4 linked regions of the Drosophila melanogaster genome follow. The main gene of each other region encodes a partner of the protein of the gene in region 2 in a complex. Each region holds a gene or a part of one and is shown on either strand. Other genes may lie near its edges.

Evidence for each region.
Region 1: eIF3g1 (region 2) and eIF3l share a complex: the UniProt entries of both Drosophila melanogaster proteins name them as parts of the eukaryotic translation initiation factor 3 (eIF-3) complex.
Region 3: eIF3g1 (region 2) and eIF3d2 share a complex: the UniProt entries of both Drosophila melanogaster proteins name them as parts of the eukaryotic translation initiation factor 3 (eIF-3) complex.
Region 4: eIF3g1 (region 2) and eIF3i share a complex: the UniProt entries of both Drosophila melanogaster proteins name them as parts of the eukaryotic translation initiation factor 3 (eIF-3) complex.

What each region holds. Positions count from the first base shown.
Region 1 is NT_037436.4:12,139,303-12,148,079, forward strand, and holds eIF3l (eukaryotic translation initiation factor 3 subunit l), read right to left. Parts: upstream 6,796-8,777; 5' UTR 6,687-6,795; coding exon 6,654-6,686; intron 5,949-6,653; coding exon 5,470-5,948; intron 5,416-5,469; coding exon 4,443-5,415; intron 4,384-4,442; coding exon 4,249-4,383; 3' UTR 4,144-4,248; downstream 1-4,143. Other genes in the region: RhoGAP68F (Rho GTPase activating protein at 68F), read left to right, coding at 790-826, 1,699-1,725, 1,950-2,075, 2,139-2,174, 2,232-2,427, 2,491-3,526; Nrx-IV (neurexin IV), read left to right, coding at 7,553-7,658. UniProt on the Drosophila melanogaster protein: Component of the eukaryotic translation initiation factor 3 (eIF-3) complex, which is involved in protein synthesis of a specialized repertoire of mRNAs and, together with other initiation factors, stimulates binding of mRNA and methionyl-tRNAi to the 40S ribosome.
Region 2 is NC_004354.4:2,606,631-2,613,636, reverse strand, and holds eIF3g1 (eukaryotic translation initiation factor 3 subunit g1), read left to right. Parts: upstream 1-3,300; 5' UTR 3,301-3,391; intron 3,392-3,454; coding exon 3,455-4,264; 3' UTR 4,265-4,390; downstream 4,391-7,006. Other genes in the region: Smyd3 (SET and MYND domain containing, class 3), read left to right, coding at 4,970-5,166, 5,225-5,466, 5,534-5,667, 5,913-6,375, 6,441-6,811. UniProt on the Drosophila melanogaster protein: RNA-binding component of the eukaryotic translation initiation factor 3 (eIF-3) complex, which is involved in protein synthesis of a specialized repertoire of mRNAs and, together with other initiation factors, stimulates binding of mRNA and methionyl-tRNAi to the 40S ribosome.
Region 3 is NT_033777.3:12,188,560-12,196,815, forward strand, and holds eIF3d2 (eukaryotic translation initiation factor 3 subunit d2), read right to left. Parts: upstream 6,453-8,256; 5' UTR 6,394-6,452; coding exon 5,401-6,393; intron 5,324-5,400; coding exon 4,661-5,323; 3' UTR 4,144-4,660; downstream 1-4,143. Other genes in the region: CG43450 (uncharacterized protein), read left to right, coding at 6,782-6,928. UniProt on the Drosophila melanogaster protein: mRNA cap-binding component of the eukaryotic translation initiation factor 3 (eIF-3) complex, which is involved in protein synthesis of a specialized repertoire of mRNAs and, together with other initiation factors, stimulates binding of mRNA and methionyl-tRNAi to the 40S ribosome.
Region 4 is NT_033779.5:4,963,827-4,971,262, forward strand, and holds eIF3i (eukaryotic translation initiation factor 3 subunit i), read right to left. Parts: upstream 3,950-7,436; 5' UTR 3,868-3,949; coding exon 3,865-3,867; intron 3,688-3,864; coding exon 3,198-3,687; intron 3,143-3,197; coding exon 2,655-3,142; 3' UTR 2,541-2,654; downstream 1-2,540. Other genes in the region: CG34124 (uncharacterized protein), read left to right, coding at 1-141, 199-423, 479-805, 862-1,449; CG34125 (uncharacterized protein), read left to right, coding at 1,910-1,996, 2,056-2,448; Scox (synthesis of cytochrome c oxidase), read right to left, coding at 4,181-4,542, 4,606-4,999; Polr1C (RNA polymerase I and III subunit C), read left to right, coding at 5,259-5,398, 5,459-6,320; l(2)05714 (lethal (2) 05714), read right to left, coding at 6,386-6,958, 7,228-7,436. UniProt on the Drosophila melanogaster protein: Component of the eukaryotic translation initiation factor 3 (eIF-3) complex, which is involved in protein synthesis of a specialized repertoire of mRNAs and, together with other initiation factors, stimulates binding of mRNA and methionyl-tRNAi to the 40S ribosome.

The sequences.
Region 1 (8,777 bases), on a different chromosome or scaffold from region 2:
TGAAACAGTGGTGTCAAAAAGGATGTGTACTAATCTCAGTTTACGCTTGAAAATTATTAATTTATTTCCCATTTACAATCCAATCACGTATTTAAAATAAAGTCATACAAGCTGTATGTACAGTGCACCCTCCCTAGTTAGGACGCTCAAAAAAAAAGAACTTCCGTTCTTTTATATACTCAAGTTATCACAAGAAATTATCGCGACAATATATAACCATTTTTGGCAGAAACGAAGGAAGCAAACTACGTTTCACTTAAAATTGTGCCTTTCTATGTGCTTTTGTGAAGCTTTTTGTCGAAATTGCGATAAGCAGCCTCTGTGTTTTTGTGTTATCTCTTCGAAAAACAATTCACTTGTCTTGAGACCGCAGTCATGGCCACTTTAAATGTCCCCACTGTATGTATGCATGTTTGAACATTAGAAATGGAGGCGGTGGGCGTCTTTCAGGGCCAACTTAGCACTAAGACTTCGAGCAAAATCATTGATGTAAATGAATGTGAATCAGCCGTGCCATACAACCTGTACTATATCCAATACCAAGAAATAACCATCGAACAAGCAACCCAAACAGCCAAGAAAACTACATAGCTTGCTAATGACGTCATCGATAGAGTACTGGCAACTGCTGCTTTTGGCTAATTTATTCTCACATTTCAGCCGCATACATTCTACATGCCAATAATCGAGCCCAACGACTGACTGAGCCACGTCCTGCGTCACCGCGAGTAATCCAATCACATCGAACGGATAGCACCTGAATCCGCATCCACTCCCATCTCCACCGCCATGGACGCCCATTCGCGTTTCGCGCCGAGATTACCAGGTAAGTCCGCCGGCCGAACGGCCAAGTCATGCTTTTCGATTCGAATATATATCTAGTTTTGATCTTTGGTTCTGTAACTGCTTAGCATTGCCATTGTCCAGTGATTTGCCTTATTTGAGCGTTCAGAAATAGTTCCCAAAATAAAGAACTTCGTTAATACTAACTACCTAATCTAATGAAAGACGTAATTGTAAAAGAATTATCTGTTTGATTGCCTAAATATAAAGTAACTAATTGTGGGTACACCATATGGAAACCCATTTTCCCATCATTCTCTTTTAACTTTGAGCCCACCATGAAGATTATAAAAACGGGCCTAAAAATATGAGGCCAGGTTTTCTACAATACCTCACCTCCAATCTGTGTTTCAAGTTTTGGGAGTCATTTCTTTGCGCTGCTTTATTTCGTTGTTTTCATTGCCGTATCGTAGTTTCTTTGAGGGGGGAAGTGCCCTCGTTTGAGAACTAACAGTTAAAGCCAGTAATTACGACTAATTTTGTGCCCCGCCCCGCCCCGCCTTGACTAACCCCCAACCGCCGCCCCCTAACCAAGTTCTTTGTTTTTGGTATCAAGTTGCGCTACTAACCCCATTTCAAACTGCATTATCCAGCCTATGTGGGCAGCTTACCGTCTCCTCCTGTACATACATAACTTGCATTTTAAAACTATCCAATGTGGTTTGTTTGCTTGGTTTGTTGTGGATCCTATTTGTTAACTACTTTTCGCTAGCTGTGTTGTTGCCAATGTTTGGTTACCCGATGTGTTTTGTGATCGTATGTGTTTGCCCTAGCCCTTATAGCCTTACTTCATAGTCTATAGTCTAATCGCCCTAGCTTAGAGTTTCCTAATCGTCTCTGTTCTGTTCTGTTCAGTAATCGTCTGCCAATTATATCGAAACCGTAAGACTGTTGATTATACAATCAGATGCCAATGTACTTAACAAATGAAATTTCTCTGATTCATGTCTATTCACTTACTCAAACTCAATCCGAACTAAACTTGTTGCCTCAGGCCGTCAAAATACTTAACTGAAAGCATTACTTGTAAGATTACGTTTTTGGAATACAAGTCCGCGCCAGGGAAACCTACGAGATTTATAAATGCCTTCCTCTCGCACCCCAAGGTCCCGCCATCAATCCGATCGTCGATAACTCGGATGAGCCCCAACCCAGTCTCTCCGATCTGCACGACTTCGAGCCGAAGCTAGAGTTTGATGATACCGAGCTGCTGGCCCCATCTCCGCTTGAAAGTAAATTGAATATTTAAAGAATCTACAAAATCATAGTCAAACTAATTCTTCGATTTTTCCCAGAAGATGTTATGGTCGGTGATTTCGTTCTGGCCGAAGGTAAGTGGCGGAATCTACTTCTCCTGGCCAATGAATAACGTTTCGCATTACGCCTAGATCCAGAACTTGAGCCCGAGGAAGATGTAAATCCGCTGGAGGACGACTTCGAGGACCAACTCAGGGAGCAGTCTGAAAACTTTCAGACTCCCAGAAACAAATGCGATTTCCTGGGAACCGATAAGCAGGGTCGCCACATCTTTGGCATTTATGCATCCCGCTTTCCCGAAAAATCCCAACTGGAAGGATTTGTGCGGTAGGATTCATATTCGAGTACATTTTTTGTTCAATCATTAATCTATTTCCATTTGTCTATCAGGGAAATCATCAAGGAGATCGAACCTTTTGTGGAGAACGACTACATTTTGGTTTACTTCCATCAAGGCCTCAAGGAGGACAACAAACCATCCGCACAGTTCCTGTGGAATTCGTACAAGGAGCTCGATCGCAACTTCCGCAAGAATCTGAAGACGTTGTATGTGGTTCATCCGACGTGGTTCATACGGGTCATTTGGAACTTCTTTAGCCCGTTCATTAGCGACAAGTTCCGCAAGAAGCTAGTCTACATCTCCAGCTTGGACGAGTTGCGCCAGGCGCTCGGCCTGAACAAGCTGAAGTTGCCGGACAACATCTGCGACCTGGACGACAAACTGAACCCCAGCCGGAAGCCATCGACACCGCCGCCCAGCAGCAATATAAATGCATCCCGGCAGCAGCAGCACAAAATGGCGACGACGCATCAATTTGGTGTGCCCCTGAAATTCATTGTGATGAACAGTCCGTGCTTAAACTCCATTCCGCCAATTGTGCGCAAGTGCGTGGACTCGCTGTCCATAACGGGCGTGATCGATACGGAGGGCATATTCCGTCGATCGGGCAATCACTCGGAGATCATGGCGCTCAAGGAGCGCGTCAACCGCGGCGAGGATGTGGATCTGAAGAGCGTTAATGTCCACGTGATAGCCGGCCTGCTGAAGAGTTTCCTGCGCGATCTCGCCGAGCCGCTGCTCACCTTCGAGCTGTACGAGGATGTGACCGGTTTTCTAGACTGGCCCAAGGAAGAGCGTTCGAGGAACGTGACGCAACTGATACGCGAAAAACTGCCAGAGGAGAACTATGAACTGTTCAAGTACATTGTTGAGTTCCTGGTCAGGGTGATGGACTGCGAGGATCTGAACAAGATGACCTCCTCCAACCTGGCCATCGTGTTCGGTCCGAATTTCCTGTGGTCGCGCAGCACCAGTACCTCCCTGGAGGAGATCGCTCCCATCAATGCTTTCGTCGACTTTGTGCTGCAGAATCACAAGGACATCTACTTGATCGACGTCAATCAGCGCACAGTGTCCGTGGACTAACAACTGGCCCGGCCACCAACAAGTCCGTAATTGTAAATTGTTTGATTTTAATGTTAGTCCTAAGTGAACCAATGGTTAGCTAAAGAGAGAGCACACAAAAACGCAACAGAAACTAGAGAACAGAAGGCAATGTCGTGTATAAAGTGTACTGTAATCCTAAGTTGAATTTTAAACTGTGTGTATGTGTGTGGAACTGCTTGTAGCCCCAACTCCACGCCAACTGTCCAACCCCCCCGAAAATCACAATTATTTACCCCCAACAAGCGCTTAATACGATTGATTTACCAAAGAAATTTGCTCGTGTTCGCTATGCGACGAACAGGAGAGAAATTTGATATGAGATGTTATTATTATATACTACGTATTAATTCAACGCACATTCCCCCATAACCGAAAACGAATCTTGGTTGCGTTGCTGAAGGCACATGCCGAGCACAAGTGGAGTTGTGGCGAACTCAAAAATCGTACTGTGTAGTCTTGAATTTCCTTATAGTCATACAAACAATTTTTATAAAATAACGGTATTGTTAAAAATAAAGCAAGTGTTAAAACAACTTGGATTCTTATTAAAAATTAGATAATTATTTTAAATTATTTAAATACTCAAGACACATTTTGAGGACCAAACTTGCGCAAGATCGCAAGCGATTTTTATTGATATCGAAACAAATCGGTCCAGTATGGAATATTAAATTTATCATTAAGGGTCACAAGGAGTCGGCTTAAATGTTGATGTTCTTCAATTTGCGATTCAGATCGTTGAACTTAAGAATTTTACGCACAAAGAAGTCGCCATACCGATGTGAAACCTTGGTGTCGGCTATGTGGATCATGTCGTCGTCGATGTAGAAGTCCAACTAGAATATTAATGTATATTATTATATTTGCCATCAGAATTTGTCTATATTAATCTCACCTCGGAGCCAGACTTGAATGTGCCTTCCAGGCCGCTGGGTCCCTTGCTCCACACTAGGTTGCGCATTTTGTGCTTGAAGCAAAGCAGGCGAATCAGCAGCTTCGACACGTCATCCTCGCTGGCGTTGGGATCGATGAAAGATGCCAGTTTGGTCAGCGGCAGGGTGGTGTACAGCTTTAGATACGAGCGCGTTGTGGGCAGATCCTTCTGTTGGCGCACCTCATCCATGAAAACCTGCAACTGGTGTTCCATGGGGTCCTTGACGTAGTCGTCCATGGGTGCGTCTACAGCTGGCGGGCAGGGGCTCACGAAACGTGGGCAGGCGAAGACAAAGAAGGACTTGAAGACCTCCAGATCACCGCACTGCATCTTAAACATGGCGTCGTGGTAGTTCTTTTCCCTGAGCACCTGCTGGATGGACTCGTCGATGCACTGGGGATGGAGTACCAGGCAGATGGCCAAAAGATGGTACATCTGCTCGGCCTGCTTGTTGATTTGATCGTTTTGGTATGAACGCGTGCTGTACAGCTGCTTGGTACGCTGAATGTACAGGAGGATATCAGAAAAGGTGCGGATGGCATCAGCGTAGCGGCGCATCATCATGTAGGCGAAGCCCACGTAGTACGACGTCGAGATTTGGCAGGCGGGGATGTGCGAATAGGCGGACTTCTTGTGGATCTCAATGGGCTCCAGCACCTTGATGGCCTGGTAGTAGTCACCCAGCAGCGAATGAACGCGCAGCAGTCCGACAAGGGAGAAGTATCCCAGCATCTTGTAGAAGGACAGTTTGCCGAAGTCACCGGCCACGGTTTGGGGATCAACACCTTGAGAGATGGCCTCCAGCTGCTTCTTGATGTTCGAGATGTCCACAAGGGAATGCAGAACGTTGAGGATGCAGAGAATGCTCCACTCGTTGCTGTGGTTCACGCACAGCTGCTGGATCTCATCCTGCGATTTCTCCGTAAGGCGGGCGCTGCAAAAATGGAAGGTTAATCGAGTTCCACAGGCTGCGGAAACAGCTACATACCGATACTGCGCGAAGTTCTGGAACTGATACACGAACTCATCCACCAACTCCCACAGCCAGATGTCGGGCAGCTCCAGCATCACTGGGTTCTGGGCCGAGATGATCAGGTTGAAGAAGTCGCAGTAGTTGAAGAACGAGTTGATCCTCTGCTCCAACTTGGGACCACCGGGGATGCGGGCGTGGATGTGGCGATAGTACAACTCCTTGTATAAGATCAGGAAGACCTTGTCGTTGTCTACAATAGCAGCCACCTCCTGCTCCTCGGGCCAAGCAGTCTTGTCGAAGTGGTGGTCGCTGATCTGCGGGAACGTGTTCTCGTACATGTTTTGGATGTCGTACAAGTTGCCCTCTTTGATCGCCTGGCAGAAGTTTATGAGGAAGTACTTGACGTTGTCCGGCATCCGGGCGGCGTAGTAGTTCCTCTCGTACTCCATGTCCAGTTGCGGGTCTCCGGTATGAGCGTAGTCATCGTAGTAATCCTGTAATATGTAAAAAACCCAATGACTTTTTGGAAGCAGAATTGCAGGAAATACTGATCTACGACTCTCTGCATAAATGAGCTATTAAATAGAGTTAATCGCTTAAAGTGGATCGATTTTATAAATTAACAGCTTGCCTAGACTATTGAAGACTTTCGACTTTGTAAATAGGAATTCGAGAGACTATGCTACAACTGTTCCGAGTTTAATCCCGACCATTTAGCTAAGCGAGCTGTAGCTAACAAAACGAGCGCATTCCTACGATTACGAAGTGGATGAACCTTAGAGGGGTACTTCTTTCCACGGCATCTCTAAGGAGTAAGCTAGAATATATTCATGTGTTCTTTAAAGGTGTGTACACACCATCTAAAATTGCACGCAAATCAAAAATGTAGAAGGTATTATGACTTATTAATAATGTACACCGATACCAATAATATACCACATGGCGCCGGGGTGTCCCCCGGACTACAGGATTCGTTTCCAAATAGCAAAGGAACGTGTCAAAGGAGTGGCCCACGGATTATCAGTGCTTAATGACCTATGATGATCTAAACACCAACTATGCCAAGTCGTAAAACGGCTTTAAAATCATCCCAGTGAGTTTTGTATTTGTGCGAGGGCAACAAAAGATGGGTTATGTTGTCGGCGGAGTCCGGGGATTGGTTTCCCGAGAATGAATCATTCCTCGCTGGCTGCACTCACCGAGTTGGTTGCGTATTCGTCTCCACCGTACATTGTCGCTGTTTTATCCTCTCCGGGTTACACACAAAACGAAAAAACCGATCAAATGCTTAGGAAATTGACAACACGCCAACAAATTTTTGGCGAAAAGAGGGATAAACAGTGTGACCAACTATCGATAATGATACTACTACGACTATCGATGTTTTACGCCCCTATCGATTTGGTATTCGAAATAATTTTTTGTAAAATATGTATTTTATTTCAAATTTCTGGATAGATAAGAAAACTAGATTTTTAAAAAATATTTTAGAGGGGATTTGACTTATTTGCCATTACATTTGTATACTTTGCTTATATCATTCATTTTGCAATGATATTACATGGCTTTAAAACTATGCAAAAAAATTTCTATCACGAATTAATATAAATGTTAACGGAAAGCTATTATTAGTGACCAAATTTAATTTCATAGTAGCAGTTGAAATAATTTGTAAATACTTCATATACTTAATCACACGATAGCTTAGCTCACGCGACAAGCACCCAGTTGGTGACTCCCTCGGTATCTTGCCACGTTTGAGTCACGGTCACACTGGCAGCGAGACATTCTGTTCGTGTGTCATCCGCGTTGCGATAATTATTTTCTTAATTCAAACGAAACTCTTCCGAAGTGGGCGTGATCTGCTGGAGCCGTACACCCAGTGGATAAATTACATAAATTCAAAATCGATTTAAAGCGGAGCGTAAAGTGCAGTCCAACGTTTTTAACACCGCGGACGCGTTGCCACAAATCATCAGCTTTTCACGGTGGTTTTTCCAGCGGAAAAGTGCATTTTGGTGTTAAACTTCTTCGGAAATCGAATATAGATGTGTTTATAAATCTACCAAGCGATAGTGTTTAATTAACAGCCTCCAAGATGAGGCCGCCCAGGAGCAATACGAAAGCAGCATTTTCCTCGCTTCAGTTTGGATTGTTATGCCTCCTATTGCTGGTCAATAATGGCATTAAATCGGTGCAAGCAGGTAAAAACCAGTGATACCCATTGACTAACCCAGGAATTCAGATCCTTTCGGCTCGATTTTCCCAGCAATATGTGACATAAAACGTCGATTGTTTGTAAGCCAACTTTTTGGGCGTGTTCCCCAAAGCTGAAGACTCGCTCTTCCATTTTCCTTTGGCCCGTTGTTCGCTTTTTAACTCGCTCTTAGCGATCGCGAGAGTTTTGGTGAGAACGGGAGAGCGATCAAACGGTTGCTTACGAATAGCGGTGGCAAAACAAAAATGCCGCTTAACAACGCCCGTTTTTACTCGTTCGTTTTGAGCAAAGGCATTGGGGTTTTAGATTCTTGATTTCCGGACTTTTATGAAGCTTCCCGGGGGAGCAATTCGAAAATTTTGCCGGTTGCATCCCCAGTTGTGCTTGCCTTCTTTTCCGGCTTTTCAAATGCGCATGCGGCAAATAAGAAGCATCTGCTGATTGATGATGCTGTGTGAAACAGGTGATTTTATCATTATCCTTCCATATGTCAACAGACTTAAGCGCTTTTCCCCACAAATTTCCACATATCTTGAAAAATAAACAATCTATCGATGATATGCAAACATTTTTATGACTAAAAATAAACAATGCCGCGCAATTAATTTGCCTTGAAGCGTCGAAAGCAGACAGCCGACATATATCCTCCCAGACTTTGGTCGATTTCCATAATTTATTTCGGTTCTTATTGCCTCGAAAATAGCATCATTCGCACTTCGAGTTTCCCCCAGATGGACGGAAATGGCCTTTCAGACCTCGTCATATTTGTTTCATTTAGAACATTAGCCAAATTCTATGTATTTCGTTTTCTTTCTAATCACCATTGGGCAATTATGTAGCAAAAAGTAGTTCAAACTGGCTATATATGTATGTACATATGTTCCTGTGTTATTTACCAGAAGATTGTCATGCGTGTTTCCTCGGTTTCCTTTCGAGCTTATCAGGTTGATTTGTACCACTCCACCCAAGACTCAAAGTCAGCTTAAAGTGCCCACGAACTCCGAATGACCTCGCAAGGGTTGTTTTCCCCCACTCCGCTAAGAAAATGCCAGTGTGCTGTTTGCCTAGGAGGAGCTACTGCTGCACCCATTGTAAACAATTTCTT
Region 2 (7,006 bases):
CAATTTTCCAGCGCGCACTGGACGATATTCTTCACGAACATATCGGTAAGATATGTTTCATTTATATTGACGACATCATCATCTTTAGTAAAGATGATGAAACACATTACCAGAACCTTGACACTATTTTCAGAACTCTTCAGCAAGCCAACATGAAATGTCAGTTGGATAAATGCGAGTTCATGAAGAGAAAAGTGGAGTTCCTAGGCTTCGTCGTGTCCGACAAGGGCATTGAAACCAGCCCAACCAAGGTACAGGCAATCTCAGACTTTCCAATTCCAAGGACACTCAAAGAACTGAGATCATTCTTGGGATTATCCGGATATTACAGGCGATTTATTCCTAACTACGCTAAGTTAGCAAAACCACTTAGCTCGCTTTTGAGAGGGGAGGATGGTCGAATTTCCAGGACATTATCGTCAAAAAAATCCGTCTCCCTTAATCGCGAAGCAATAGAAGCCTTCAAGAAATTGAAGAGCAGCTTGGTTTCTCCAGACGTAATACTCCACTACCCGGACTTTAAGAAAGAATTTCACCTAACAACGGATGCTTCCAATTTCGCAGTAGGTGCTGTTCTTTCACAAGAGAACAGACCCATCTCATTTTTATCGAGAACACTCTCGAAGGCGGAAGAAAATTATGCCACGAATGAGAAGGAAATGTTAGCCATTATCTGGGCTCTAAAAAAGCTAAAAATTTACCTTTACGGTAAAGCAAAGGTGAAAATCTTTACTGACCATCAGCCTTTGACCCATTCTCTCAGTAGTTGGAATGGAAATGCGAGGATTAAGAGATGGAAAGCATACCTTGAGGAATATGACTACGAAATTTTCTACAAGCCAGGCAGAGAAAATACTGTAGCCGACGCTCTGTCCAGAGGACCGACAGTCGAACAAATTAACACAGTAGCCTCAACAATGCACAGCTCTGACAGTTCGAGCCATGGGCTGATACCTAGCGTTGAAGCCCCGATAAACGCATTCAAGAATCAAATTTTCTTCAGGGAGTCCGAGTCAGAGAACTACTCATTTAGCATTCCATTCCCGACATTTCAAAGGCATTTAGTAGATCGCAACTTGTTCACACCCGATAGTCTCTTGTCAGATTTGAAAGAATATCTTAACCCATCCGTGATTAATGGAATTTTCACATCCGAGGATGTAATGGGGAAAATTCAAATTCTCTACCCCATCCATTTTCAGGGTTTCAAGATTAGATTCTGCCAAAGCAAAGTCAAAGACCTTGTTAACGAAGCCGAACAAGAGGAAGAAATACTTAGGACACATAACAGAGCACACAGAAATGCTGTGGAAAATAAAGCTCAGTTGTCCGAAAGAGTATACTTTCCTAAAATGAGGAAAAAAGTTTCGGCTATCGTGAATCAGTGTTTGGTGTGTAAGACTGCTAAATATGACAGACATCCCACGCATCCAGAAATAAGACAAACTCCCTTGCCAGAATACCCCGGACAAATTATTCATATTGACATCTACTCGACAGAACGACATCTGGTGCTCACGGCGATTGATAAATTTTCCAAACTGGCCATGGGAAGAGTTATCAAATCCAAAGCTGTAGAAGACATTAGGAAAGCCCTAAGAGATATCGTGTTTTATTATGGAGTGCCTAAATTAATAGTAATGGACAATGAAAAGTCCCTCAACTCAGCCTCTATCAAATTCATGTTGACAGACCAGCTGGGTATTGAGCTCTACAAAGCACCTCCGTATAAGAGTACAGTAAATGGACAGATAGAAAGATTTCACTCCACACTCTCTGAAATAATGAGATGTTTGAAAGGAGATGGAACACATAGGGGCTTCGAGGAACTTCTCGATAGGGCCATCTATGAATATAACTACACTGTCCATTCTGTCACAAAAAAACGACCTCTAGAGGTGTTCTTCGGCAGGATAGCTACCGTAGCTCCAGAAAAATATGAACAAGCTAGACTGGACAATATAGACCGACTTAGGCAAAAACAGGAAACCGACATAGAATACCACAACCGGACAAGAAAGCCCATAAAAACCTATATCAAAGGGCAAGAAATTTTCGTTAGGGTTAATACAAGATTAGGTTCTAAGTTATCAAGTAGATTTAGGAAGGAACTAGTTAAGGAAGACCGAAGTACCACAATATTAACAGAATCAGGGAAATTAGTACATAAAAGTAACATAAGATCATGATTGCTTCAGAATAATTACTGTGGCCACATCGATAGACAAGTAGAACATAGAAACATTAAACATACTGATTAACGTAACCACGAGAATTAAATTTGAAACGATTCGACTTTGACAGACGAGTTGGCCATAGGTTTGCAGAATTAGATTGGGCTCGTGAAAGAAGAGATTGCGTTGTGAATGCGTTTCTGCGGAGCGAGTTTAAATTGAATGAGACCAGTAGCCTACTTGAAAACAATATACCGATTTCTGCCTTGACGGTCAAATAAATGTTAAAACTTTCACACGTTCTCGCTTTACACAACGGAACTACAATTTGAATGCCATTGAAATCTCCATATTGAATCAGTTAATTCCTTATTTCTTATATTTTAAAACATGATCAGTAAAGGAAACTAATAATAATAAATAAATAATAATTTAATTTGAATAATAATAAAATTTACCAATTAAAGACGAAATGTACGGAATCAATGCCTTCTGCAAAGGTTCCAATGGTCTAAAAATATGTAGATATAAATTCATTAGTAATTTAGTAAAAACCAGAATTTTAATAGAAGCAATCAAGTTGTCAATGCAGAACACATCCGAGTTGCACAAACCTCGAACGCACGCAACAATAAACACCTGGCATTCAAACCATTAATGCTGTGCCCAAACTACCACGAATCACCCCACCAACGATGCGACTCAAAAACATCCCATCCTTATGATGACCGCTCGAGGACAAGCGTCAATTAAGAGGGGAGGAGTTATTGCCCTGCAATTGATTCTCTAACATCTTGTGGTTCCACATAGTCTCCGCTGCCATCAACGCCAACGAACGGTTAAGCGCGACATCGACACTTCTGCGCTGCGCCGCGGCCGACGCCTGCTGCGCCGCTGCCGACGACTTCACTTGATTGCTAGGGACTTAGGGAAACATTTTGTACGCTAGATTTAGTTTCAAATGATAAATTGCAATAAACGGTCGCTTGCGATCTTCAAAATCAAATCGATAACTTATTAACTTATATGTAACGAAATTTCAAATGGTATATTCCAAAAAGTGCAAAGTGGTATTAGCGGTATATTTTTTGGACACACACGGCATATTTTTGTGACCGCGGCAGGGTAACACTCTTTTGTTGCTGATTAAAAATCCGCTTAACTCGTGGCGAAATTTGCATTTACGATTTCGCATACAAATCGCGTTGAAAATCAGAGTGAGTGCACCCCAAGCAAGCGCCCAGTGTAGCCCCACTCACTGCGCCCTCAATTCCTTTCAGATGCCGGGCGTTGAAACGATCAAATCCTCCTGGGCGGACGAGGTGGAGCTCGACTATGGTGGACTACCTCCGACGACGGAGACGGTGGAGAACGGACAGAAGTACGTGACGGAGTACAAGTACAACAAGGACGACAAGAAGACGAAGGTGGTGCGCACGTACAAGATATCCAAGCAGGTGGTGCCCAAGACGGTGGCCAAGCGACGCACCTGGACGAAGTTCGGCGACTCGAAGAACGACAAGCCCGGCCCCAACTCGCAGACGACCATGGTGTCCGAGGAGATCATCATGCAGTTCCTCAACTCCAAGGAGGACGAGAAGGCCAACGATCCGCTGCTAGATCCCACCAAGAATATTGCCAAGTGCCGTATCTGCAACGGTGAGCATTGGTCGGTCAACTGCCCGTACAAGGGCACGGCGATGGACACGAATATGATGGAGAAGAAGGCTTCGGCAGCCGCCGCGGCCGCCGTCGATGCGCCCAAGTCCGGCAAGTATGTGCCGCCGTTCCTCAAGGACAGCCAAAAGGGCGCGCTGGGAATGCGCGGACGCGACGACACGGCCGCCATTAGGATATCGAATCTGTCGGAGTCGATGACCGAGGCGGATCTCGAGGAGCTGGTGAAGAAGATTGGACCGCAGAGCAAGATGTATCTCGCCCGCGACAAGAACACCGGACTCTGCAAGGGATTCGCCTACGTGCACTTCAAGCAGCGCAAGGATGCGGCCGCCGCCATCGAGATCCTCAATGGACACGGCTACGACCACTTGATCCTCAGCGTCGAATGGTCGAAACCCCAGAACAATTAGTTAGTCCCGTTCCCACTACCCGCGTTTACTGCTCATAGGAGTCCGTTCGAGTCGATCACACAATTTGTCCCTATGCTATGCTAAGTTTGCTACAAATAAATCTTAAAACAGCCCCCATGGGCACCGAAAACCAGATGACTATGCTCTGCAAGGATACAATGGCATCTAGAATCGTATATTTTTCATATTTGATATAACTTAATCGCTCTTCTTTAGTTTTGCGGACCAACCAACACAAATGCTTTCGACTTTTGCTCTAATATAGCTTTCTCCCTCGTTTTAAAGGACGCAAGGCCACCAAATCGTAGACACTGGGAACAACATATAAAAGAAATATTTTTTATTTGTTACTTAAAAAACTTGAATATGATTTGTTAAGTGTATTTTTTAACGACATGCAGCTACCCACATATGGTTAACAAGTTAACCTTACGCGGTGCCCACTGTAGAAAGCATGATTCCAGCCGATCTGGCAACGCCATCGTTTGCATGCGAATAAACACCATGGTGTTGTTGTTTTTGTGTTTGCCAGCGATTTGCGTAAATTGTGTTTGTTTTTGTGGCCAAAAATAGAAATCAGATGCCGCAAAATATTCAAAAAGCATTCGAAACAATATTTTTGATCTTCAGGTGTGCGCTCATTTTCAGTCGTCAGTGAGACGGGCCCCCAGGCGAAAGTCTTTGTTGTTGCTCCGTTCGAGCGAAATGGCCACCGCCACCGTTGGTTCATCCAGATCCGCAACCACATCCGCAACCGCATCCGCATGCTCATCCAAATCCAAGAACCTAAAGAATCCGGCGCCGCAAATAAAAAGGGGACAGCGGATCCTCACGGAGAAACCATTCGCCTTCGTCTTGAAATCACAGTACCGCCTGGAGCGGTGCGATAACTGCCTGGAGGCGTAAGTTTCGCCATGTGGCTGCCTTTGTGAGCTATCTAATTTGGGTTCGTCGTTGCAGGACCAAGGTGCTGAAGTGCTCCAACTGCAGGTATGTGTCCTACTGCCACCGCTCATGCCAGATGCAAGCTTGGGGCCAGCACAAGCACGAGTGTCCTTTCCTCAAGAAGGTGCATCCTCGAGTTGTGCCCGATGCTGCCCGAATGCTCTGCCGACTGATCCTGCGCCTGGAGCACGGCGGAGACCTGATCCGCGGCTATTACACCGAGCACGGCTCCCGCAAGTTTCGCGATCTCATGTCCCGTGAGTAAACCAAAGGGCGAACCGCTTTGCATGGTCATTCCTAGCTAATCCACGTTAACGTGCACAGATTACGCCGAAATCAAGAACGATCCCATGCGACTGGAGCACTTGGACTCGCTGCATGCCGTCCTCACCGATATGATGGCCGAGAGTCCCAGCACGGTGCCAAACAAGACGGAACTGATGAGCATCTATGGTCGCGTAAGTGTGCAGGCACCTGTGCGAGCGAGCAGGAGCGGATTGGGCGATTCATCGCACTGGTACTGAATCGAGAAACCAAGACGCTTGCGTATGCAGCCGCTCCTGGTCGCCCAAATTAGATAGCAATCAATGATGTATGCCTGGCGCTCTGCCAGTCAATTGATTATCTAGGAAGGGCTTCGGTTCACATTCCCCGGCGCACAGTTACGCGGGAGCTCATGCTCTTTCTTCTCTGCTCTTTGCAGCTGATCACCAATGGCTTCAATATCTTGGACGCCGAGATGAACTCAATTGCCACGGCCATATATCTGGGCGTCTCGATTACGGACCATAGCTGCCAGCCAAATGCGGTCGCCACCTTCGAGGGCAACGAGCTGCACGTCCACGCGATCGAGGACATGGAATGCCTGGACTGGTCGAAAATCTTCATCAGCTACATCGACCTGCTCAATACGCCGGAGCAGAGGCGTCTGGACCTCAAGGAGCACTACTACTTCCTATGCGTGTGCAGCAAGTGCACGGATGCCAAGGAATCGAAGGAGATGCTGGCTGCCCTGTGTCCCAATCGCAACTGCGGTGCGGGAATCAGTGTGGACCGCAATAATTGCCCGCGATGCGATGCCGGCATCAGTCCCAAGTTGAGAAATGCCTTCAACGAGGCGATGACTCTGACCCGGCACAATCTGGAGAACATGAAGGACGTGGCCTGTGAGTAGATGCGACGAAATGGAATTAGCTCCATAATAAGCACATTTTCACTCTCTCGATCACAGATCTCGATGTGTGCAAGGTGTGTCTGGACAAGCAGACTGGCGTGTTCCATCCCCTGAATGTGTGGTACGTCAAGACGCTCGATGCGGCCTTCGAAGCAGCCATCGAAGTGGGCAAGTGGAGCGACGCCCTGGATTACGGGCAACGTTTGCTGCCAGGCTTTCGAAAATACCACGGACCCTGGAATCCGCTATTGGGCCTGCTTCACATGAAGCTGGGCAAGATTCAGCTCTACGAGGGCCATTCCAAGGAGGCACTGCACCATCTGGAGGAGGCCCAACGCATCCTAACCGTCACCCACGGCCGAGATCACAGACTGCTTACTGAGCAGCTATACATGCTCGTTCTACAAGCGCGACAAGAGGCGCACTAATGGGATTTAGTTGTTTTTATTCATTTAAATAAGTCTTAAGTTAAATATTGTGTTGCGTTGCGGGAAGAATGGAATGGATTTTTGTGGATAATTACTTTTCTATGTACAACAGAAACCATTCGGAGAATTAAAGATTATCAAATTCTATTACTTTTGGCATTTGTGGTAAACAATTCAAGGAATTAAAGTAAGGAC
Region 3 (8,256 bases), on a different chromosome or scaffold from region 2:
TGATTGAGTATGTGCAACTGAGCCAAGGGCCAAGAAAGAGGGCCCAGGACCTCATCCTCCCAGTTTCCCTTTTTGTTTTTTGTTTGGACATCGGCATTGGGATGGGTGATGAAAAATTCGATGATGCCCATCCAACAATGCCAGTTTACTGGAGGGTCGAAACGGAATTTAATTTTGTGCGAATCTTGGGTAGCTCGCACAGAAGGACATGGTTGTCATCGGCGCTGCATCAGCTGTCCCTCAACATCGACATTGGGCAGATGATAAAACCCAATTTGTTGCAAATAAAATAAAAAACAAAGCAGGCAAGCAAATGGACACAAGGAGCTCCTCTTGTTGCACCATCAGCAGGACCAGACCAGAACAACGAGCAGAATCACAAGCTGGTGCAATTGAGCAAATTCATTGCAAATTGCCACTCGATGTGTGCTGGTGTCCGAGAGCCGGACGACTCCTTCGTTCGCAATCGAGGATCGATGCCGAAATTAGAAACTGGAAAACGCATTTGGCATAATTTCAATTCCACCCACCTACCACTTGCTGTGTTTACAATTCGTTTATGCAAAGTCTGACGAGCTGCGGGCCAGTTGGCCAACGGAACAGCGGGGGAGTTAGACAATCAGCTTACCCACTCAAAGATAAATGTATATATATAAGAATATTTTCCATTTGAAACAGGTAATCGATTTTCATGCTTGTGGCGAAACGTACAAAAGAACTGAAACGAACCCAAAAGTAAACCAACTTTGTTGTCTGTTTCGTTTGCTTTCATTCTTATGTTTTTTTCCCTCGGCAGCTGGATTTGGGTTTCGCATTCACCTTATTCTTATGCCGTGTGCGTGCGTGTGGGTATGTGGGTATCCGGTGCGTATACTTGATATTTATGTTGAAAACTTAAAGCAGTTAAGAGCTCGTCGTGCTTAAAATATTCCATCGGTGTCTGACAGTCAAGTTTATCCAACTTGTTGATTTACTTTTGGCCCCACTTTCCGGGGCGAAAGTTAAACCACATCACAGTTTCCTCTCGAAGTTACCATTTAAGTGAGACCTGCCTGGAATAATCAGGTGAATGATCGCACATCGTTTTTGATCTTTTCAGTGATTTGCATAGTGAAAAATCCACTGTAAAAAAGGGCTTTATAAAGGGCCTTTAGAACAAGGGTTATATTATAGCCGAAGTCCCTTCTTCAATCCCTACAGAATGTCTTTCTGAACACAAAAACTGTAAGTATATCCCTTCTGCAAGAGAATGAAAACAAGGCCCTGGTTCTGGGAGACATGAACACATCTTTAAATTATTCAGTGATTCATAAGCCACTATTAAATCAGAATACAAGGTAAGATGCATATATGCGAGTCATTCGAATTTGTAATCTGCCGAAATATATTCAGGAGTGCAAAAGTGCACATGTGCCCAACTTGGGTGACAGCGCCAACAAAGAATCCAATTACGTTGGCTACTGGGATATTTTTGACAAGTATTCAATGAATTTCAGTCCAGATTTGTGACCCTATCCAGGCAGACTTTCAGCAGACAGACTTTTGCCAGCCATTCGTTTGCAGGCAGGAAACGAATTAGAAATGTGTAAAACAGAAGTTGCTCCACAGGCGCAGTCGGTCAGGAGCTAAGGCTCCGAGTGAGACGTGGAAAATATTCGTTTTTTCTTTGAGCTGAGATGAGAATCGGCAACTGAACCTTGCCTGGCCGGAAGAGGAAAATGATTTCCGGCCTGGACCGGCTGCGGCGATAATTTTGCGGCATCTGAGAACTTTTTATATGCAATCATTGGGCGGATTGTCAGTTAACTCGCAGCTGGGATTGCAACTGCAACCAATTCATTTCATCGAATTATGTGAATATTCCCGTGCTCCAGTTACTACCCCTCATTGCATCTACATAATTTTAGCCATTATTCTCGCTCTCGCCAACAAAAAAGTTTTAGCTCAAAACGCGGCAAAAAAAGAATAAGTTTGGCAAAATGTTTGCACAAAGTTTTGCGTTGCGAAACGAGCTGAAGAAGTGGAAAAAATTATCACTATTGTTGCAGATTTGTTGGGTGACGCTGAAATTTGTATTCGGTGCTTTTGCTTTTGTTTTTTGCAGAGGTGTTGGCGGCATTGATAACATTTCTTATTCTGTGGCTAACAACAGTGTGCTCTCGTCTGTGTCTAGTCGACCGTCTAAAATGCAGAAGGGGTAATTTAAATATATTATATTGGGGTAACTTGAGTGAGAAAGTTTTACGAATTTTCATCTGGAAAAGAGTAGCAGGGCTATCAGGTTCGTCCTGTAAAAAGAAGGGAATATTAAAGAATCTCCGATTTGATATATAAGTAATATTTTGATTTTACGATATATTTGATTGCTTTGGGTCTCCCTTTTCACTTCAATCCATACCTATATTAATAGCCGTGGGCTTCATCCTCGATTAACTGACTTCTCGTGGCAAACTTTTACCCAGACAAATGATATTTAAATGAGCTGCATTTGAAAAGTTAACGGTGAATGGAGCCCAAAGCAAATGTCACAAAATTGACAGGATCTTTCGAGAAGGAAAGACAAGAAAAGAAAAACTGGCACAAGTCGGCAAATTAAATATGCCAAAAGGCGGAGGCGAAATCCGAGCTGGCCAAAAGAACACAAAACTTTTGGCTTACAAACATTCCTAAACTCTTCAGTCCGCCCCCCGAAATGCGTGACCCCTGGCACCCGGAGCCCCCTGATCCTGGTGAACCCAACCAAAGTCCAAAGATGGCAAATCCGTTGCTTAAACGGCTAGAGGGCCTGGGGCCAAATGCTTTGGTGGCAACTTAAAGTCGCATTTGGTTTCCTAATGCGGCTCAGACGGCTTCCGAGGCTCCAGCTACCATAACCCCATTTCAGCGAAAAAAGCGAGTGAGGCAAATTGAAATGAAATTGAATTTAGTTGGAGGTCGCAGGAGCTGAAAAAGTTGACGCGGGTGTGGCAGTTTTATTTACAACTATTCCTCATGTGATGTGATGCTGGGAAAATGCAAAAGAGTTTAATTTGCAATTTGTCGCCCTCATTCAACGCTTAACTTTTCACTCGGGCGGTGTTTGTGGTTGCATATGCAAATGCCTTGGCCATCTAAACCCATACCTCAGCCCACTAACCCACACCCTGTGTTCTGGGCTCTCCGGTCTGTGTTCTCCGTTACCCCGGAATGGCCCGCAGCCCTGCATATGCGATAAAATGTACAAAGTTTTGCGTTAAGGCCCCACTTGAGTTGGGCTAGGAGTTGTTGCCGCTGGCAAGTGCCCTGGCCAACCCGGCCTGCCAGTTTGTTAAACGCCTTTCAACGGCGTGGTTAGCCAAGCGCAGACCTTGAAATGCCACGCCAGTCCTGGCCAGAAGCCGAAGCTACAACTGCAGCTACAGCTAAGGCTAAAGCTGGTAGCTAAAGCCGGTAGTTGCCAGCTGGTAGTCGGTAGTCTGTACTCCGTAGTTGGTGGTACATGGTAGCTGAAGCCACTCGAGCAGCTAACCAGCCGGAGCCAACTTTTCTGCGGCAAACGCTTTAAAAAACCAGTCCGCAATAGTCATTTCGTAAGTTGGTCCTGCAGGCACACACACAGGCACACATGTTGATTTAGCAAACAAAATGTTTTAATTGAATAACACTTTGGTGTTTCACTGCTGCTTACTGGCAAGATCAAGTGCCTTTCCGGCCAACTGTGCGTATACTTGATGTGCACACATATACATATGTATGTGCTGCATTGTGAATCTGTGCACTGCCACATAATGGACCGACTTTATCAATCAAATTTGCCGCAGGCAGGGAATTAAAATTAATCGGTTTCAATTTTCATTTGCGTAAATTCCCTAAATATTTTCACACACTTATTTCACACCCAGGCATCATCATTTGCTCATCCTGTCTGGGGAAGAAAGGGAGTGCAAGCCTATCCATGCAAATTGAATAGGTCTAAATTCAATTTGGCGCTGAACAAAAAGAAATTGGCGGACGGAGAAACAAAAACAAAAATGCGCAAAACATTTTGGTAATTTAGTTGAGCGATTTGCATTTCCGTTGGGGAATAATTTCTGCACTTTTGTGCTCACTGACTGCCCAAATTGAATTGCCAAATAACAAAAAAGGCAGGATGCATATGAAATTCGAGCACATATATGAATTTAATTAAATGCTGTTGAATACGAAAACATTTTGCTTAAATTGTCGCACGCCAAGCACCACAGCAGCATCAGAATTTGCATTGATTGATGCCGTGTTCGGTGATTTATTGATCCTGAGGTTTGTCACCCAAACAGCCCTTCACCCATTTCAGCCCCAGTTCCACTCCCCCGCAATTATTGTGATTGTCAGTCGGTAATGGCGGGGGATGTTCTGCACAATGCATATTTATTTAGCCGGGTTTCATTTTGTATTTCTTGGAACCGCAGTGATTGATGTGGCCATGTTATCCTCAAAATAACTGTGACTGCACCCGGTCACCCGGTCCGTTGTTCACTGACATGTCAAGTGATGGCTCCGTTCATATGTTGTGTTTGGTCAAAAACTCAATTTAAATTGCATTTGTGTTCACTGCGCATCTGTCAGCATGTGTCGGCTTGTCTCGTCCGTCGACGGATCCCCTTGTTCGGAGAACTATTAGTTGAATAAATTCGTGAGGGCGTTAGTTATCGTTGGAGTTACTCAAGGGATCGCTGGACTCCTCCTCCTCATCGCCGTCGGAGTCGAAGGCGTTTTCCGGAACGTCATACAGACGGATCATCGGCTTGTTGGGATCCTTCATGATCAGATACTTTCCATCCGGTTGCCTCATCACAAGGTCAATTAGGCAACGCAATACTCCCCAGGCATTGTCCATGTTCAGGTTGATTTGGGTGGCGAACTCCTGCGGCTTGAATTGCTGTGTGCCAAGGATCACGTGACGCAGGTGATCACGCGGATTCATCCTGGACACATAGCCTAACTTCAGTTGATCGGAACCAGCCAGCACAGCCTCAACGGTCCATCGAGCTAGCTTACAAGCATTGTTGCGCAACTCGGAGGCCAAGACTGCACCGCGCTGGGTGTCCAACTTCTGGCGCCACTCCACACTGTTGGTCACCTTGGAGTCCCATTCATTCAGCGCCTTGATCGAGAGGAACTGCACGTCCCCATTGGGTCCTTGGATAACCCCATTGTGCTTGCAGCGAGCAATCAGCACCACATCGTTGCCCAGATCCCACTGACGGTAGCGATAGCCAATGGAGGCAAGATCCACGCCTGGCTCCTCGAACGGATTGGGCTCCTCAAACATGAAACGTGGCTCTTGGTCGCCAATGCGAAGAACCTTTTAAAAATAAATAACATAAGATTTAAAAACGTACAATAACAAATAACATAAATTGAAACCTACTGTAAACCTACCTGCTGGCTAAAGTTGTGATTAATTAGAGTGGCCTCCATTGCCAAGCTATGTGCCGAATTGATGGAACCCTCCTCATCCATCGGAGGTTCTACTGAAGTCTCGTTGACAGTCAGCAAATCAAATTGATCATTATATCTCTTATCTAAGAACACCTTAGTGCCCAATTTCTCGACTACCACATCCCAAGAGTAATTGGAGCGTGTGCAGCACATTATGGTGGACAAGATTTCGTCGGTGGCAAAGACATTGCCCATGGTCCTCGAAAGACGACGAATAACCGGATCATCCGTGGTCGTCACGGTGTGCACAACACGATCCATCTTTTGCAATGGTTTTTCATTGCGTAAGTTGACTCGATCGTATAACTTATCATAAAATTCCAGCCATCCGCAGGTGGCAATGTCCTTACCATCTTTAATATTGGGAAGTGCCAGCTTGAGAAGGCGTGGAAAATCAATCTCCTCGATCGAAACCCAATCCGATTGCACCATCACTGAGCTCTCGCGGATTCTGGTGGGAGCATTGCGACCGAATCTGCGACCCATATTCTGCGTGTTGCGTGTATTGCGACCCTTTCCGTACTTGGTGGTACTGGCAGTTGCGCCTCCAGCCGTGGATCCCCCGAGACTTGCTATATTCGGAGTGCCACGCCCCGTGCGACCCCTGCTCCTCACATTGTTGCGCATATTGGGTCTATAGCGTCCCCGCTGATAGGGCTTGGTGGCCTTCGATCCAGTGGTGTCCACCAAATGGAAGGTGGAGTCATCGTCCTCGTAGAAGTATGCGTACTGACTGTTGTTGCCAAAGGTCGAGGCGTATTTACTGGGGAACTTCTTCTCGGGCACCATCGCAGTCCAGTCGCAGATCTTGCCCAGGCGATCACTTTTGCAGAACGGCTGGTAGGGCACATCCAATTCGGGTACCTCGCAAGGACCCCAGCCGTGCTCGTTGTACTCCACATAGGGCTTGATAAAGGGTGCGTAGTTGGACATAATCACGCCGAAAGATGTTTAAATAACCAAGAGCAAGTATTTACATTTATGTGATCCGGTTTTGTCGAGGTACAAATTACACTGAGCTGATTTCGTATGGCCGGCTTGACAGCTTGGGAAAATTTTCCAAGCCCTACGTTTGGATAATGTTATAATATGAAAAAGGCGGTTTTATCCATTAAGGAAATAACCGAATATCCAATCTTTAAATAATTTTTGATAGACAACTAAAAAGATTTCTTCAAAAGCCTATAGTAAGTAGATTGAAGCCTATTGTGAGAAATCAAAAGATACCAATTCCTCACAATAAAAGCTCAGTCTTATTTGTATTTCTAGTCACACCGAAACCCTATAAACTACACAAAGTGAGAAGTAAGACGTTTGGAGAATGAATCTTAGGAGGACGCCCTGCCCCCAATTAAACACCACCGCAACCACAATGAAGAAATGTGTAATTGCCTGTTCGTCTTTCGGTTCTCCGTCAACGTCGTGCTGCTCTCATTGGCCACGATTATTCTCATCCTCCGCATGGTGAGCTGATCCAGGATGGGCGCGGGGATCCCCTTCCAGCCGACAAATTCTTGTTTCTTATTATCTTTTATAAAAAACCCTCACTAAGCGCACAAATAAATGTTTGTTGAGCTGTGGAAATGGTACAGGAAGCGGGGTACTGTGACGGGATTATCACTTGACGACGCATCTAAGCTCACATCGACATGACTCCATTCATATGACTCCAACTCCAGCACCATTGTTCTGACCCAAGTATCAGGAAAGCAAAGGAACAACAGCGGAGTGCACTACAATGGGACGAGTGTCCTGTGTGCTGGATCTGGTCAACTTGGCTCAGTCCTCACTGTGTTCCGGTTCGGTTTCCTTATTCTTGGCTGGGAGCACCTTACAACAATCTCGTTAAGCGTAAAGGCCAAATTATAGTAAAACTAACAGAAGGCAAAAGGTAATCACATAAAAAGCTTGTTAGATAACAACGTGTGAGGCGGCGAAAAAGGAAGCGGACATCCTGCACTCCGGCTCATACCCAAAAAGCAACATGTCGAGCGTGTGAATGTGCCTGAATGTGTGGAAAATGATATGGGTGCGAGCGGGATGACAGTGGGAGTGCGGTGCCTCCGCCCCTCTTCCAGCACCCAGATCCTGAGCTAAGCTTTGTCAAGCGACAGGGTGTCATGTTGATGTGTATGTCACTGGCAGCTGCTGCTTACATGGCCCGGCTCCAGATTCCCTCGCACTTCTCTGTTGATACACTGCGAGAATATGAAGAGATAATGTCAAATGTAAGAATAGAAGACCAAGAATGCATACCAAGAATATAATAATGGGTTCTGTGGAGCAATAACAATGGGAACTTATTTTGACTGAAATAATTCCTATTTTACCATTGAATTGATTTCAGTGTAGCCATAAGCCGTGGATGAGTGTGCGTCTGAGTGAGTGTATGTGTGTGTGGATTATAATTGCCATGCGGCTGTCAGTGACTGCAGGCGGCGCCTAACTGCACACAGCTGCAGATGTGCGGCTCGTGTTGCAATATCATTTTTAATGCAAACCGCATGCCACATTATGCAGCTGCATTGCCACGTCACCGCTGCGGTTTCTCCATCCCCATCCGCCTTCCGCTTTCCAACCTCCGGATTTACCCTCTCATCTCCAGCTCATCTGCAATCGCTCCTGCCGCTGAAGCTTTTCTTCTGCCACTGCCGGTCTTGTAGGAAAAAGCGGTAGCGGCTTGGTGAAAGGAACACAGCCAAGAATAATGCCCTGGCACATAAGTAAGTACTTACCCAGCGAACAAAAGCAACAAGAACAACAAGAACGACAACAACAACAGAAACTACTACTAGT
Region 4 (7,436 bases), on a different chromosome or scaffold from region 2:
CAGGCCATGATGAAGAAGTTCGGCATTATTGTCAACCTGGATGAGTTGGAGGAGGAGGTCCTAAGGCGCTACATCTTCGATCTGGAAACCAATGCCGAGGATGAGCTTATGGCCCTCGAAAAAGAGCTCCTGGAGAAACAGGTACATTTGCTTTCATAAGTATAACAATTTCTTTAATATCCAACTATTGTGCATCAGAAAGAACTCGCTCGCTGCGAGGAGGAACTGGTCCTGGAGACCCAGAACAACACCGAGAAGGTTAACATAATGACCGTGCTCCGGGAAGAGAACAACATCCTTCGCACTCTGTTGGACATTCAGAACAAAAACTATGCCAAGTGGGCCAATCCGAATGCACTAAATCTATCCTACGACATTGAGAAGCTGAGGGGCATTGAAAAATCCTTGCTGGACCAGATTGAAGTGGGTAATTCTCCAAAACTGATTTCAGATCCTTAAAGCATTATGTATTCAACAGTGCCTGGAGCGGGAGATCTGCGCTCTCAGGCTGAAGTCCAAGCCGCTGCAAATCAATTACGAGTTCGAGGTGGATCCCAATGCACAGCCCCAGGTGGTGACCAGTGAAATAATGCCCAACGACGATGCGATGGTGTGCCCGGCCATCCTCAATGTCGACGCCTACATGCTGCCACCCATGCCCGATGAGTTTATCATGGATCGCGTACAGACCATTGTCCAGAAGAGTTTCAATCGCTTCTTTGGGAAGAGCACCACTCCGGAGAATGTGCGCAAGTTTGCCCAGCGCTCCTCGCTTTATTTGTGCCAGGCCGCCTACAGTTTCCAGGTGATTAGATCTAAAAGCAATTAGTTTACTCAATCTTACCAAAGGTTATATTTTAGGGTCGGTACACGGATCGCATAGCCGAGTGCATAACGGAGCATCTGCAGACGTTTGTGCCGAAGAAGTACTTCATCCACATCAGCAACGAGGAGCTTCGCAAGCTATTCAACGAGGTGGTGGCTGTGTTCGACTACGAACGCTCTGATGTGAACACCGAGGAGCTGATATCCGGAATTTTCGATCACGCCAAGGACTCGCTGTGCGCTCATGTCCATATGGGCGACTCCGAGGTTGTGAACCGCACCCACTTCATCGTCGCTCACATGTTCAAAGAGCTGATTGAGGTGCTGCCGCTGGAGGAGTTCCAGGCGGACGAGACCCTGCGCATGATTGTGGACGTGCTGGAGCGTGAACCGATGGTGGATCCTCGAGCCATAGCCGTGGAGCAGCTGATCGATAGCACGCTCCAGCACGCCCGGGAGAATCTGATCGATGGGATTACAGCGGTGCCCATTCGCAGCCTGGGAAGCTCCATTCAAAGAGACCTGATAAAAAGGCGGCAATATAAGCAGCCCAGTTGCGAGTCGCCCATGTCGGTGAGGATCGCCACGAAAAAGCCAGGAACCAGCAGTGGGCTTCCTTTCTAGACATCCATATCAAATACTTTGGTAGAAATTCAAAAATTAATTATTTTTGGAACTTGACAACATCGATTTACAAAAAGTAACTCAATACATATTTTTTTGTAGACTTCACTTTGAATTTCGAAAAAGGTGACCCAAACATGTATATTTTACCATAGAACATCTTTAAATCTGATTTTGAATTATTTGTAAAAGCGTGTGTTTCAATAACTGGCGTCCTAATAGCACAACTCAAAAATTTACTAATAAATTGTGAGGGACATATTATTCCCATTTTTTATTTATTTTAAAACGCCAAAGAAATAAAATAGCAATTCGCGTGCAGAAAATAAATTTCGAATAAATCCAGATCTGACGGGAAAACTTTACGACATCACTAATCTCGATGAGCTGACAACCCTGTTTGTGACTCAGAGAAACTGCAAGTAAACAAAGTGCAACTTCAAATTACAGACGAGATAAGATGTCGAAGCCATCAAAAGCAGGTCCACCAAGCGAGGGAAGTGCTCCCGCTTACGACTATCGCCATTCCGGCGATGACATGGCCATGGTAATAAGTTAATTTGATTATCAAATACCAGTCGCCATCTAAAGTTTTGCGACTTCTAGCGAGCTCCTCCGCCAACGTATGAAGAAAGCCAGCGAAACGGCGGCACCGGTGCTGGTGCCTATGGCTATCCACAAGGAGGAGGTGCTCCGCCCAGCCAGAATCAGTATTACGGCATGATCAGCCACCAGCAACAGCAGATGCCCTTCAGCGGGCAGCCCAACTACGGTATGACACATGGCAGTGGCTTCGGACTTGCTGGTCCCAGTACGTCGGCAGGAGCAGCTGCAGCACAGGTCCTCCACTTGGACTCACGGGCCGAGGTGAGGACAAATTCCAACGGAAATGTCGTCATTCCGCCTCCTCCGCCGGGCTGCCTGCCCACACCGGCTCAGTGGGCGGCCATGCAGGGTCAGCCTGTGGTTCTCAAGCAAAAAAAGCGTTCCTTTTTTTAGGTTACACATGGCACACCATTTACTCGAATATAATCATGTTGTACCTCTTTCCACTCCTTTGATGTTATAAAAATAAACGACGCGATCCGTTTCGTTTCGTCCTCGCGTATATTTGAAAGTTCCCTAAGCAAACGAACATGTCGCCGGTGAAATGGTTATGTTAAGTCCACCGGCTCTGATCCTACTAAATCACTACTGGATACAAACTACTCGAAGATGTTCTCAAAGTATGTACTATCGAATGTCTGGACACGCACGAAACCATCTTCTCCGCCCGAGGCGTAACTCTTGCCGTCCGGATGGAAGGCCAAACTGTTGATGGGTCCGAAATGGCCCTTGAGTCGGGCGAACTCCTCCTCGTATATCAGGTGGAAGAAGCGCGAGTCAAACTTGCCAGCCTTCGTAGACGTAGTGGTCACCTCCATGGCATCTTGACCGCCGCCCAGCACGACATGATCCATGATTGGGCTGATGGCCGCCGAGTTTACTGGACGCTCCGTTTTGTAGGTCTTGAGGCACATCAGGGACTCCGAATCGAACAATTTGGCGGTGGTGTCCTTGGAGGCGGTCACAAACATGGTGCCATCCTTGCTCAACTGCATGTCGTTGATGCCAGCGCTGTGATCCGTGCCAGAGTCAACCACCTTTTGACCCTTACGGATGTCCCAGATGGCAATGTTGCCATTATCGTGACCTGGAAATACGGGTTTTAAACGGTTTTCATAATAGATTATCGGGTAAACACCAACCTGTGATGATGGTCTCATCCAGAGGACCCCACAACATCGACGTAATTTTGGACTCGGTCATCGGGATGCGGAGTGTGGGCTCCTGCTCCGACAACGAGGAATCGGCGTTGCGGACATCGATGAGGAACAGTTCACAGCTCTGTCCCATCGCTTTGTCCGTTGAGTAGGCTGCCTGGTTGCCCGAGAAGCTGAAGTTGCTGGTGCGCACCGATGACTTGGTCGGAATGGAGGCGATAACGGTGCCGTACTCGACGTCCCAGATCTTAGCGGTCATATCACCGGCGCCGGTGATGAGCTTACGGCTCTCCCAGTCCACATCCAGGCACCAGACCGCACCCTGGTGACCATCGTAGGTGCCCAAACGTTCTCCGTTCAGCGAGTACCACACATTGGGCTTCTGATCCTTGGAGCAGGAGAAGAGCAGGTCGCCCTCGCGGTTGTACTTGATTTGCGTTATGGAACGCTCGTGGCCCTGAAGCATCAACGGACGCTATAAAAGACAGAATAATACGAATTTTTAGCAACAATTTAGGCCGCTTTTAAGGTTATGTTTGGTCCGGAATTTCACACGACTTTCACACTTTGCAAATAGTTGTAATTTCGGGTAAATTCTAAAGAAACCCATCCGGAATAATGCAAACTGTGTAGTCATTGACCAGGCACGCACCATTTTGTATTATATTGTTATTTGTTGCGAGAAAACGAATATTTTTGCAACAACATCCACGCAGCACTACACGCCAAAAGAGCAGTGTGACCGTGGCCTAGTCAAAATCTCACTTCGATATACCAGGGGGATCTAAAAAATACCGTTAATCAAGTTTATTTTGAACAACCAGAAATTTTTACAATCTAGAACTTAAGGTATAGCCAATATAAACGAAAATTTGGATTTAAAACTTGATATACATCAAGTAAAAACCATATTTTATGCCATACATTAAGTAAATACAACGAAACAACATTTGCCTAGCTTAGCCAGCCTAGCTGAACCATCCCTTTTTGTTCATTGAATTCCACTTGGCTATGTTCACCAAAATGGATGCCACACACTGGTCCTTGTCCCGATTTTGGCCGTAGTAATCGACAAACTCGCCATCGGGATTGACCAGGTACATGATGATGGTGTGATCCACAATATAATCGTTGTCCTCGTCCCGCGGTCCAGCGCTGAAATAAACCCTGAAGGCCTTGCACACTTTGCGGATTTGTTCGACGGTTCCCGTGAGTCCCAGCAGTTTGGGGGAGAACTCTTTTACGTATTTGGCCACCACCTCTTTGGAGTCACGTTCTGGGTCAACGGTGATAAAGATGGGCTGCACTGCTGGCGTTTGCGGGGACTTTTCTGTGAAGGTTTGAGAAACATGGTTTTTTTTGGGTTTGGAAGAAATAGTCAGGCTCTACTTACCAACTTCATCGACGACGGCGGCCATCTTCTCTAGCTCATCGGGACAAATATCCGGGCAGTGGGTGAAGCCAAAATAGATGAGCAGCCACTTGCCTAAGAAGTCCTCCGATTTGCGAACAGCTCCCTGCGAATCAACTAATTCCCAACTGCCGCCGATGGCTGCTTTTCCCAATTGCCGCTGACGCTCCTTCATTCTCGCCTCATCCTTCTCGCTCTTCACGTACAGCATGAAGCCCACTCCTCCGGCTCCAAGGGCTCCAATGACGGCCAGACTTCTCCAAGAGATCGGACCCTTGCCTTTAGTGGAATCTGCGGGAGCGGCATAATGACGAATTGCGGGCTGTTGTGCCCAGCGACGACAGCTGCCCACTAAGCGTTGCAGGGAGCGGGACATCTTACGCCCGGTTTCAGAAATTTGAAGGCTTTACGTAAATCTTCTGGAGAAATAAAAATATCGCCGGTGTCCTGCTGCTTCTTCCTATTCAGCCAGTCACGGCGAAACAGCATTTATTTAGTACATAAAGTATATTTATTTAGTATATTAGTTAGTTTGTTAGTTAGTTTGGTATATTTTGGTATTAGAAGGCGGTCTTATTGATTCCAACACGTGCGGTTCAATTTTGTTAAATTATTTAATAAAAACACCGGGGCAAATGGCAAGCAAAAATCGCAAGGAGCCGCTTCTGTACATGGAGGAGTATCGGGTGAAGCAGGATCCGCAGGACTATGGACTGGCGGACGATGTATTTTCCGTTCAGGCTTTCAAGGAAAAGCTGCACATCAAAATCGTCAGGTAAATCTCAATAGAAATTAGAATCTTACGAGTCGATTAACAATTGGTGTTCACTTCTAGAAACGACGAAGACGGCCTGGAGTTCGATCTGATTGGCGTGTATCCCGCCATTGCAAATGCCTTCCGTCGCCTGATGCTCAGCGATGTGCCCAGCATGGCCATCGAAAAGGTGTACATATACAACAACACCTCGATCATCCAGGACGAGGTACTTGCCCATCGAATGGGTCTACTTCCGTTGCGGGCTGATCCCCGTCTATTCGCATACCGCACCGAGGAAAGCACTGAGGCGGGGACCGAGCAGGATACGCTTGAATTTGAGCTGAAGGTGAAGTGCTCGCGGCGACGGGATGCTGGAAAAGATCAGTCCAACTTCGATGACATTTACAAAAACCACAAAGTGTACTCGGGTCATCTGAAGTGGCTGCCCAAAGGAAAGCAGGCGCAGATATACAGCGAGAGTGCTGTGAACTGCATTCACGATGACATACTGATTGCCCAATTGCGTCCGGGTCACGAGTTGGATCTGCGCCTGGTGGCGGTTAAGGGACTTGGACGGGATCACGCGAAATTCTCGCCGGTGGCCACGGCCACCTACCGACTGCTGCCCATGATTAAGCTGAACCGCGAGGTGACCGGTAAGGATGCGTACCTATTACAGAACTGTTTCTCACCAGGAGTAATTGGCATTGACGAGAATGAAACTGCCTATGTAAAGGATGCACGCTACGACACGTGCAGCCGAAATGTGTATCGCTATCCCCAGCTAAACGACGCTGTGACTTTGGCCCGTATCCGAGATCACTACATTTTCTCCGTGGAATCAGTCGGCGCACTGAAGCCCGATGTCATCTTCCTGGAGGCGGTCAAGGTATTGAAGAGAAAGTGCCGGGCGCTAATTGACGAAATTGAGGCAGAATAGTTATTTATTTAGTTGTTAAAGAAATTATATTATGTACATAAGACAGCTTGATATAAATTGTAAGCCTACGAAGATCGTGCTTGCTCTCTCTTGCGCTTGAGCACCTTCAGGCGAAATTCCGTTAGGACCACCTGCAGACGCTCCTGGCACATTAGTGCGTCCTCCAGGTCCATGTTGTTCAGCTGCAGAGCCAAACTCTTGCCAAACAAGTCAAATTCACTAATAATGGTGTCTTCCGTCATCGCGTCGACTTGGTATTCGTTATTAATCTCCGTATCTTCCGGCTTGAGCTGTATCATCTCTTCCTCGTAGACCACCTCTTGGTCCTGGAGATCTGTTTCATTCTGTTGTACTTCGAGGAACTCGTTCTCAACCTCAAATTCTTGCTCTTGATAGGGCTGATCTGTTCTGAGTAAATCATCCAGGATTGAGTCGTTCGAGGCGATTTCGTCCTCCTCCGTCTCCTCCTCCATGCTCTCCACCTTCGTGTCGTTCTTGATCTTTGGCTGCATTTTGCTCCTTGGCTTTTGCCTTGGATAGGTCTTTGATTTGGCTTTGGGCTTTGCTTTGGGTGAAATTATGGAGGCCTCCAAGTCTGGGTCATGCTCATCTTTGACAAGTTCACCCTTAATCATATTCTGTAGGTATAAATACGGAGTTGTTAATTTTATGTAAATTAGTAATGAGATGAGAATTTTTTTTTTGGAGCGATAAGTTGTGCATCGCATAGAGGGAGCTACTGGTTTGGTTAACCATTGCACAAGAAGTAGTCAATGGAATAGTTAACGAAAAGTATGGCGAAAACTCACACAAAAATCGTGTTTGAAATTTAGTTTGGATCGCAAAATATTTGAATCAATAATGGACACGGGTCATTCCTATTGCTTATGCACAAACCCAATCCCACCTTGGCAAGAATGTTGTGGTACTTGAAACTTTCCTGGTGTTTCCGCGTTGCGAGGTGCTGCTTGATGGACGCTAGTCTGGCGAGGACATTGATGTCGCAGATCTTGCAGTGCGCCGAGTAACCGTCATTACTAGACGCCAGCCAGCTGGAGAGCTCCGGATATTTCTCCCACTCTGTGCGATAGCGTTGGTGGTACAGTCGCTTCACCT